Linked DNA regions of Caenorhabditis elegans. The protein of the gene in region 1 interacts with the protein of each later gene in a pairwise test. Each region holds a gene or a part of one and is shown on either strand. Other genes may lie near its edges.

Region 1 (5,801 bases):
ACTAGACATTTCTCGAAAAAAATTCCCATTTTAGGAAATTTTGGCATATTTGGTCAAACTTTGAATGAAAATTTTGAGAAATCGAAAACCTTTTGGTTTTTTAAAAATAACTTATCACTCGGGATACTCTATCTTTAGAACTTAAATAAATTTTTTGCAATATGCATTTGGATTTTTTTTTTCCAAAACACAAAAAGCCATATTTAAATAATTTCCTTTCATTTTGAGTGTTCTTTGTAATTTCTGCAGCCTTTCAAATTAAATTATTGTTCTCTAACAACAAAATATTTTTCTTAACCCACGTATTTCGAATCTTATTGGTACAATTCCACACAAAACCTGAGCAATAAAACATATTTCTCCTCACACAGCTTGGTGAATCTGCTGCGGTCACAAGTCACTAGTCCTTTTCCACAATTTCGTCATTCAGTGAGACTTCAATCATCATCTCCTCCCTATGGGACTCTTTTTTAGCCTTCTATTGTTGTACTCTCTGACCTCAACTTGGACATTTTTAGATATTAGGTTCTCCAGGAAGTCTTTGTAACTGAGTTTGCTTTTCCATAGCTCGCCGCAGTTGCACTTTGGTGTTCGACAACTTCGTGACAATTACGTGACAACTTCGTGACAATTACGTGACAACTTCGTGACAACTTCGTGGCAACTTCGTGACAACTTCGTGACAACTTCGAGACAACTTCGTGACAACTTCGTGACAACTTCGTGACAACATCGTGCCAACTTCGTGACAACTTCGTGACAACTTCGTGACAACTTCGTGGCAACTTCGTGACAACTTCGTGACAACTTCGTGACAACTTCGTGACAACTTCGTGACAACTTTGTGACAACTTTGTGACAACTTTGGGACAACTTCGTGACGCTGTAAAGCCAAACGTAGTGTTACCTTCTTTCGCGAGCCAAAAAAACGCGAAAGAGGGGCGGAGTCTGCACACTCGGCATTTATTAGAGGCTGCTTGGCAGAATATAGAAATTGATGGTTTCATCTGTCCCTGGTCTCATCGTTTCAATTTCTACATTAAAGCCCACTTTTGTATTAATATCCCACATATCACCAATTTCTCATCTTATCATAGAATCTTTCAACATTATTATTTGTAACAATATTTGTATAAGTAGTATCTCTAACGTTTTATTTAAGAAAAATAATAATGAAGTTGACATTACAAATGTTTGAATATGGTAATATCAGTGGAAAAGATGACATAGATATATAATCTTTTTTAAAAAACGAATACAAATCAGCGCATAGAACACGGTACAATTGATGTAGAGGGATACGTAATATGCTGGAAAAATGGCGATACAGTCCAAACTTGTCTATTCTTTTTTTGCTTGACGCCGCTTTCGAGTAGTTGGCTTCTGCTTGCAGAGGGATAACGGGCGTTTCACTTTGTTGTGACGGTAATACAAGTTGCAAGCACTGAAAATATTACTTTAATAGTGGAACTAATGATGTATATTTAACTAGTCATTAAAATTAATAAAATTTTAAATTCGAAATTCTAAAAAATAATCGAAAATTATAAGCAAGTTCAACTGAGAATTTTTGATTTGGAATGTAAATGTTCTAAATGTTCGAAAAAATTCAGGGGTAGGCGGCAAGTGCCATTCGGCAAATTTTTTTGTCAACAAATTTGGCAAATCGATAAATTGCCGGTTTGCCATTTTGCCGGAAATTTTCATTTCCGACAATTTGCCGATTTTTCGGAAATTGAATTGATGATTTTTGTTTTTAGAGGGATTTTTTATAAGACGGAAACATTTAAAACTGTGCATTTTTGAAATGTTTTCTCCGTTTTCTTTAGATATTTTCACAGAACTTGCTTACTTTTCAGAATAGATGTAGGAACATTCATAGGATGCGTACAATTTTGCCGATTAAAATTGAAATTCGGAAATTTCCAAAAAAAATGTGCAAAACCACAAATTGCCGAAAATTTTCGGCAAATTCGGAAAATCGACAAATTGCCGGTTTGCCGATTTGCCGACTTGCCAGAAAAACAATCGGTTGCCGCGCACACCTGGTAGAAATAATATAAAAGAATATAATAAAATATAAACTTACTTGCACTCAAGATTCCCTTCATCATTTTTACGCCAAAGTGTGGTTGTAGTTGTTGAGCAGTGTGAGCAGCACGCATCACGAATTACCTGAAAAATTTCATATAGAAATATTTATTTCATTCTAAACCCTCGAATCCTACTTTTGCAATTTTCTTTCCCTTCTGTGAACCAAATCGGTTTCCAGATGATTCGTAACTGCTATCTTGCTCCACAAAGGATTTTTGCTCATTTTCATTTTTCGTCAAGCTTTCATCAAAAATAATTCTGGAATCTTCAAGTGGTTGTAATGGAGTAGTACACATTGACGACTGAATTGGTTGTTCGTATGGAGATGGAATTTGATAACTCTGGAATGGATCAAAGTGATGAGTTGAAGCATCTTGCCAAGTATTGTAGTACACGGGCTGCGGTGGGTAGACATATGGACTGAAAAGTTGGAGTTTTTATTCTCTCAAGCTGAGCTGAGTTTGTAGTACATTTGTGGTGCAGGAGACTAGGCAAAAGATTTGTAAGCAGTTGGTAAAATTTGGCAGGAAAAGTTAAGCGGAAAGTTGTTAAAATTTGTCAGAAAGTTGCCAAAAGTTTTGCAAGAAGTTGCCAAAAGTTGGAAAAAAGTTGCCAAATGTTGTCAAAAAGTTGCCAGAGCTTGGCAGGACGATGCCAAAAGTTGGCAAAAAGTTGTTAAACTTTAAAAGAAAGCTATCAAAAGTTGGCAGAAAGTTGCAAAAAGTTGTCAGAAAATGTCCAAAGATTGACAGAAAGTTGCAAAAATTTTGCAAAAAGTGTTAACATTTGAAAGAAAGTTACGAAAGGTAGACAGAATTTTTTAACTGCTTTGTAGGAAATTGTTAAACTTTGAGAGAAAGTTGGAAATTACCTACAATTGCCAAACAGGAAACATGTTAAGTCATACACTTTAAGCCATTCCCAGCATGAAACTCGTTTTTCAGACTCTCAAATTATAATAATAAACCTTAAAAAATATAATAATTCTCAAAGATTCCTATTCTCAAAAACACTGAAAACTACTGATTATAAGCAGTATACTTTGGAGCATTCGATATTGATTTTTATCAGTTATGCTACATGAGTTCAATAAAACATAGTTTTGGTCACATGTTGGAACAAAGTTGTTGTTTTTGTATACATTACTACAGGAAAGTAATATTTTGGTAGTAATGTAAAAACCATATAATTCTGTTGATAGTGAATATTTCAATTTAAGTTTGCCGTAAAAATAATACAATTACATTATGCAACATTTTTATGCACTGCAATAAAACAGTTTTGATTTCAAAACTTACTTTTGATTATATTGAAATTGATTAAATAAATAATAGTCCTCCATTGGACTTCTCGCTGGCGGCTCATTCATGATAGTCGTAACAGATGGAAGTGGTTGAAGAGTAGTAGTTTCAGGGAGCATTTTTTCCAGTCGACTAGAGCAGACAACTCTAACCACAAATGTCTGTCTTTGTTACAGGCAGGAAAGTAACAAAGAGCCCGGAGAGATCCTAGAGAAAGAGACAAAAAAGGTCAGAGTGATAAGATAGACCGGCGGCGGTGGTGATGGGGAACTGTGTGTGGCTCACCACCCATCATTAGTAGTTTATGATATAATGACTATGAACCTGGACGGCAAAGTTCTTAAAGGGAAGGAGAACGAAAGTAAATATGACTTGGGACTTTTATGGATAGTCGTAAATTAGTGGTAAGTCAGAGATGCATGTACCTATGCCTTGTGTGCCAGTGGACGAGCAAAAAAAGGAAACATGGGAAAGAGGGGGGGGGGGTGCGGCAAATCTCAAAATTTGCAGAGTCCGGCAAAACCGGCAAATTTGACAAATTTGCCCTGGTCGGCGAACCCGGAAAATCTCGATATTTTAAAACTATTTTTTGGATCACAAAATTGACGAAAAAGCTTTAAAAGTGTAGCATTCTGGAAAAAAAATTTTTTTTAAAGATACTCACAAAATTTTGTGTTATTTCATTCATTTCTTTCTTCTAAACTCAAGGCAAATTTTAGAGTATTCCGAGCTTAACAAATGGCAAATTGGACAAATTTGTCGCGAATGGGAAATCTTGTTCCAAGTTGAAATGCTGTGTCCTGGAGGAAGTGTGCAATTATTTTTTTTTAAGTTGAAGTAATGTGCAAAAGGGGCATAAACTGATTGTGAGAGTGCATAGTGTTTATAATTTAATTCTTGTATTATCGGTAGCCTATTTCTAACGTGTTTTTTTTTAAAATACATATAATTTATTTAAAATGAATGCTTGAAAAATCAACATGGAATGTAGTTTTACGTAAACTGTATTTTTCTATTAAAAAAAGTGTAGATTTGGAAAAAGATAAGAATTCAGAACTGTGAGAGGCGATTTTAAATTCATTATTTTTATTCAAATTACTAGCATTCGCGGCTTCTCAACTAACCGACTAACCCCCAATGTGCGTCTCGAGACCAGGATTGAGTACAACTCGGAGGTAATATAAGGTATTAGAATTACGAGTTCTCAGTTAACCGCTACAGATCTCGACACGAAATTACTTACACCACACAAAATGAGGAATCTGCAGAAAATTGGTATAAGATGGCTAATTCGAATTTCCGATCGGCAGTGTTTGAGGTATGAATCCCGATTTTTATAATCGGAACTTTGTGCCTACAGTACCCGCATGTGTTTCAAAATTACCTCTACAGTTTATTTTTTCCACTTCTACGACTTTAAAGGAGGGCGCATTTATTCAAAATGGTCCCGCCACGCTCCACCCATTGGTCTCGCCACGCGCTTCAAAAATCAATGAATGGCGCGTGACGAGACCATTTTGAATGAATGCGCCCTCTTTTGAAGTCGTAGAAGTGGAAACAAATACACTGTACTTTTGCAATTTCGCTCAACTTTTCGCAATTAATAGCGCTAAAACTCCGGGTTTTTGAAAAAAAAAACCAAAAGTACGGGGAAATGGAGAAATATGTGCGCGGAAATACTGTACCTGGTCTCGGCACGATTGAAACCTTTCAGCTACCGTACACCACAAGTTTTCGTAATCGTCTATTTCTAGACTTTCACCAAATTCATAGCGCTAAAATGTGTTTTTAGTGAAAAATTGAGGAACATTTGCGGATACGATACCTAAAAAGACCCACTACCGTAACATAAACAAATATAATTTTCAGAACCGTGTCCACGTGTGGGCACTCCCACTGAGCTATTCTCAATCGAAATATGGTGGCCGGAAGACTCCCTCATCTGCTTGCACAATAATCACTGTCCAGATTGCTCACGATTTCTTGAGGTTTGTGAAATTTTAGTGCGATCGAAAAGTAAATCCATCTTTTAGCAAGAACGTCTGTATCCCACCCACGCATCCTTTGACACCTCAACATCTTCCACTTGGCGTCCTCGATGTTCTTATTAACGGAATTGTTGATGGCAATGAGACACACGAAAAGGCTATGGCAGCTCGACGACGAGGATTCAGTGGAAGTCTAAAAAAGAAGCATCTTGAAGAGACAGGGGAAAGTGGTTCAGTCTTCCAATTTTTGAAGAAACCACATCGAGACACGTTCACTGTGCCAGAAGCTATTCAAGTTCAGCGGCCCGAGATGCATGAGATTGACTACCCATGCTATTCTGGAGACTTTATTAGCAATCTCGTGACAGCTATGTCGATGGCTGTAAACAGTCCGTATCTCTCGAAACTCGATAGATTG
Region 2 (4,785 bases), on another chromosome or scaffold:
GAAACGTTCCGGCAAATTGGGAAACCGGCAAATTTTCGGCAAATTGGCAAATTGCAGGAATTGAAAAGCTCCGGAAAATTTTCAAAATTCTGGCAAATCGGCAACTTGAAAAACTCCGGCAAATTGCCGGAATTGAAAAGTTCCGTCAAATTGCCGGAAACAAAGAGTTCCGGCAAATTGGCAAACCGGCAAATTTCCGGAAAATCGGGAAATTGCCGGAATTGAAACGTTCCGGCAAATTGGGAAACCGGCAAATTTTCGGCAAATTGGCAAATTGCAGGAATTGAAAAGCTCCGGAAAATTTTCAAAATTCTGGCAAATCGGCAACTTGAAAAACTCCGGCAAATTGCCGGAATTGAAAAGTTCCGTCAAATTGCCGGAAACAAAGAGTTCCGGCAAATTGGCAAACCGGCAAATTTCCGGAAAATCGGGAAATTGCCGGAATTGAAACGTTCCGGCAAATTGGGAAACCGGCAAATTTTCGGCAAATTGGCAAATTGCAGGAATTGAAAAGCTCCGGAAAATTTTCAAAATTCTGGCAAATCGGCAACTTGAAAAACTCCGGCAAATTTCCGGCAAATCGGAAATTTGTCGGGATTGAAAAGCTCCGTCAAATTGGCAAACAGGCAATTTTTAAGCAAATCGGCAAATTGCCGGAATTTAAAAGTTCCGGGAAATTGGCAAACCGGCGAATTTCCGGATAATCGGGAAACTGCCGGAATTGAATAGTTCTGGCAAATTGGCAAAACGGCAAAATTCCGGCAAACTGCAGGAATTGAAAAGCTTTGGCAAATTGGCAAACCGGAAAAATTCCGGAAAATTGCCGGGATTGAAAAGTTCCGAAAAATTGGAAAACCGGCAAATTTCCGGCAAATTGGCAAACCGGCAAACCATTTTTAAAACTCACAAGTACGCATAAATGAGCCAATGAGCCAATTCAATCATCGTCGGCCAGCCAACACAGAGCACAGATTATATGCCGAAACGGCAAATTTTGTGAGAAATGGAAATCTTTAGCCTCGCGATGACATTTCAGAGGCAGCAGCTGTTATTTGGAGCCCCGCACGTGGTGAGAGTGAGAACTCGAACAAAATTTAGAGAGGAGGAAAAGTTGTTGGAAAACGATCAAAGGTGAGTGTGGAGAAACGGATATGAGTAACCGGAAGAAGTTGTTTTTTGGAGTAAAGTAAAAAGAAGTTGTTTTTTGGAGTAAAGTAATTTAAATTCCAAATATTATAAAGACAACTACTGAATGTAATATATAATTCATCTCATCGTTAAAAAGATTGCAAAATCAACCAGTTCATATTCTGGCAATGTTAATTCAAGCAATATACATGTTAAACATAAGCAAAATAGTTTGGGGCAGCGGAGAATCTATATACAGGAAACGACCAAAACAAAAAAGGAAAATAAAATAAAGGGGAAAGTTAGTTGATATATTCAACAAGAACCACTGATACAATAATACAGAATTATGTACATTACAAATTATAGGACATATGTCTGGAGTTACTCGTCCTCTTCATCCAGTTTGAATGTCTCGAGGAACGTGATCAGGTCCTCGACTGGCACAATTCCCTTTCCCAGCGGGATCATGTCCTTTTCGATCTCAAATTCGTGGATTTCGACTGGATCTTCGACAATCAGCACACGTCGGTTCTTGCACTTCACTGTTTGCTCCAATTCGATGTACTGAAAATTTCATAAATTGAAAATCGAGATTTTATTGCTGCTCAACTCACTCTACTTCTCCCTGAAGTATTCCTGGCGTTCGAGTTGTTATTGTACACGATCCTCGTTTCCACGTGGCGCTTTCCTCGGATAGAACACGTGATTGATGCAGTCGAGGCCATCAGTCGGCCTTGTGAATCGAGTCCTGGCTCGAGATTTCCGTATTCCCGGCAGTTTGTGGTTCGCAGGTGACGAGTGGTAGTCTGAAAAAGTTATTGGCATGAAACAGAAAACTGTTTCTCGTACTCTGCCCTGTGATCGGTTCAACGTTGCCACCACAAAGCTGTCTGTCATCTGGAATCCTTCGTTTTCCATCTCCAGTTGTTCGAGCATAGCAAACAATAGATGGAATGGCATTTCAGTCGTTGCCTGGATCGCGAATCGAACCACATTTTGACCCGTCTCTTTCGGCTCGGCCAGGAAGGAAGTCTGAGATTAAATTTAATTCTTTCAGGAAAAATATTCTCAAGAAATTAACCAGAATCAAACTGGAGATATCCTCGACCAACAGCATGCGGCACTGAGCGGCGAAATAGTGTGGTCGCTGATTGGGATGAAGGAGCACGTGCTCGACAAGCGCTTTCTCCGATTCTCTGGTCGTGTTGAACCATCTTTGCGAGAAGAAGTCGTAGCGCTTGAGACGAAGACTTTCAATCGGCATTGTTTGAATGCTTCTGAGCACTTTGACAGCTTCATCGCGGATGACTGTCTTGCTCGGCTTCTTGTCGACGAGCTTTGGAGTCTCATCGATACGATGCAGGGAACGGTAGTTCTGATCGTCGACGAGCTCCACGTCTTCTCCATGCCCTTCGATAATTACATCATGATTGATGTTGGGTTGTGGTGGGAGGGCAGAGCAACCGGCTCGAGCGGTTTCCAGGTGATCTTCTTCGTTGTAGTTGACCACGTATCTGGTCGCTGTCAATTCGCGAAGAACGGTGCGAGATGGAGCTGACATTCTGAAAAATTTTGGTGTAAAAAATTAATGGAAAAGAAGAAAACAATGTGCTCAAGTGATTTGCAGATTAAGAATAATTTACCGATAAAGCTATGAAAAAGATTCATTAAATCTCTCTGAGCATCAGCTTAATACATCAGCAAAGAAGAAGAATTCACACGATCAAAAAATTTTGTTGGGCCTAAAATAATGAAATTGTTGCGCTGATTTTTCGCGGGGAGATCATTCATAAAAATTACAATATTCATTCAAAAATAAATACTTTTGGATTTGTTTTATTCACTTTTTTTAATGAAAAATTAACAGTGATTGGAACTTTTTAATAATTAAATCAAGATTTAAATATCAGAAAACAACAAAAATTCGTTCGAGAACTTTCTCAAGCCTACCGTACTCTTTAAAGGCGGCGCCTGAAGATTTTCACATGGCTATCACCACGACGCAAGTTAAATTTGACTTTTTACTTATAATTCGTTCTTTTTATTGCGATTTTTTAATATTTTCAGCATCGAAAAAATTTAACAAACGTTTTTCTTATTTTTAAAACGCTTTTGATGCTTTGTGCTCGTCTTAAAAAAAGCTGAAACGAATAATTCTCAAAAAAATTCGTCTTTTCTGGGTTACCGTACTCTTTAAAGGCGCATAACAATTTTCACATAGGTCTCGACAAAGCGTGGGAGAAATTTGAATTTTCAATCAAAAAACGTTTGTTTTGTTGCGATTTTCAGGCTTTTCCTCGAGTTTTCAACGCTTTTTGCTCGTTTTTTTCGCTCAAATAAATTATTTCAGAAGATTCTACAATGGGGGTTATCATCCCCGCTGTACTTCTCGCTTCGGCGACGGTGATTGCTTGGCTTATCTACAAACACTTGAGAATGCGTCAAGTTTTGAAGGTTTGATTGCAAAATTCATTTAAAGATAAATTGAATAAACTTTCAGCACCTCAACCAACCACGATCATACCCAATCGTCGGTCACGGACTCATCACAAAGCCCGATCCAGAGGGATTCATGAATCAAGTGATTGGAATGGGATATTTGTATCCAGATCCACGGATGTGTCTTCTCTGGATTGGTCCATTCCCATGTCTTATGCTCTACTCTGCCGATCTTGTTGAACCTATTTTCTCTTCCACGAAACATCTGAACAAAGGGTTCGCATACGTTTTGCTTGAGCCATGGCTTGGAATCAGTATTTTGACGAGCCAAAAGGAACAATGGCGTCCAAAGCGAAAACTATTGACACCAACCTTCCATTATGATATTCTCAAGGATTTCTTGCCGATTTTTAACGAGCAATCGAAGATTTTGATTCAGAAATTGTGTTGCCTCGGTGTAGCAGAGTGAGAATTTTAATTCTTACATAACTCTTTCGAACGTTTTATTTCAGTGAAGAAGTTGATGTTCTCTCCGTCATCACCCTTTGCACTCTTGACATCATCTGCGAAACTTCCATGGGAAAAGCTATCGGTGCTCAACTCGCGGAGGTTCGGGAAATTCTTCCATCTATTTAAATTTCTAAATGTTTTTTTTTTCAGAATAACGAGTATGTATGGGCGGTGCACACAATTAATAAGCTGATTTCAAAGCGAACAAATAATCCGTTGATGTGGAATTCATTTATTTACAATTTGTACGGTATTTAGTTTTAAAATTTTAAATTTATCATTAAAGATGATGTAGTCGAATTTTTTTTTGCTTTATTAGACTCAAAATTGTCTGAAAACTTCTCAAAAAAAATTATGACGGCTCAAAAAATGACCTAAAATTAATTAAAATTTGAAATTTGACCGAATTGTCAAGCGGCTGGAAACTAATTTTTTCGGGTATATAAGTTAATTATCTCGGGGTTTCACCTTCATTTAGGTATTTTAAAGTCGATGGACGGCGAGATTAGGTAAAAAAATTTAAAAATCTCGCCGTCCATCGACTTTAAAATACCTAAATCGAGTTGTAAACCCAAGATAATTAAATTGTATACCCAAAATTAGACGGTGATTTCGTAAAAAAATTTGTTTCAAGCCGGTCAAATCTCAAATTTTATCTAACATTAGGTCATTTTTCGAGCCGTCATAACGTTTTTTTTTAGAAGT

What was found. Proteins that work in one complex are often made in the same cells at the same time.
Region 2: the proteins of elt-7 (region 1) and memi-2 interact in a two-hybrid assay, tested with the Caenorhabditis elegans proteins (one large-scale study listed by BioGRID).

The regions. Positions count from the first base shown.
Region 1 is NC_003283.11:4,768,427-4,774,227, reverse strand, and holds elt-7 (Transcription factor elt-7), read right to left. Parts: upstream 3,559-5,801; 5' UTR 3,515-3,558; coding exon 3,393-3,514; intron 2,515-3,392; coding exon 2,229-2,514; intron 2,176-2,228; coding exon 2,090-2,175; intron 1,445-2,089; coding exon 1,342-1,444; 3' UTR 1,142-1,341; downstream 1-1,141. Other genes in the region: C18G1.9 (FERM domain-containing protein), read left to right, coding at 4,533-4,570, 4,617-4,713, 5,265-5,383, 5,429-5,801. UniProt on the Caenorhabditis elegans protein: Transcriptional activator that binds to the consensus sequence 5'-[AT]GATA[AG]-3'.
Region 2 is NC_003282.8:13,397,814-13,402,598, forward strand, and holds memi-2 (MEiosis-to-MItosis transition associated), read right to left. Parts: upstream 2,694-4,785; 5' UTR 2,693-2,693; coding exon 2,213-2,692; intron 2,164-2,212; coding exon 1,981-2,163; intron 1,938-1,980; coding exon 1,746-1,937; intron 1,696-1,745; coding exon 1,513-1,695; 3' UTR 1,255-1,512; downstream 1-1,254. Other genes in the region: cyp-31A5 (CYtochrome P450 family), read left to right, coding at 3,493-3,585, 3,632-4,035, 4,083-4,179, 4,231-4,325.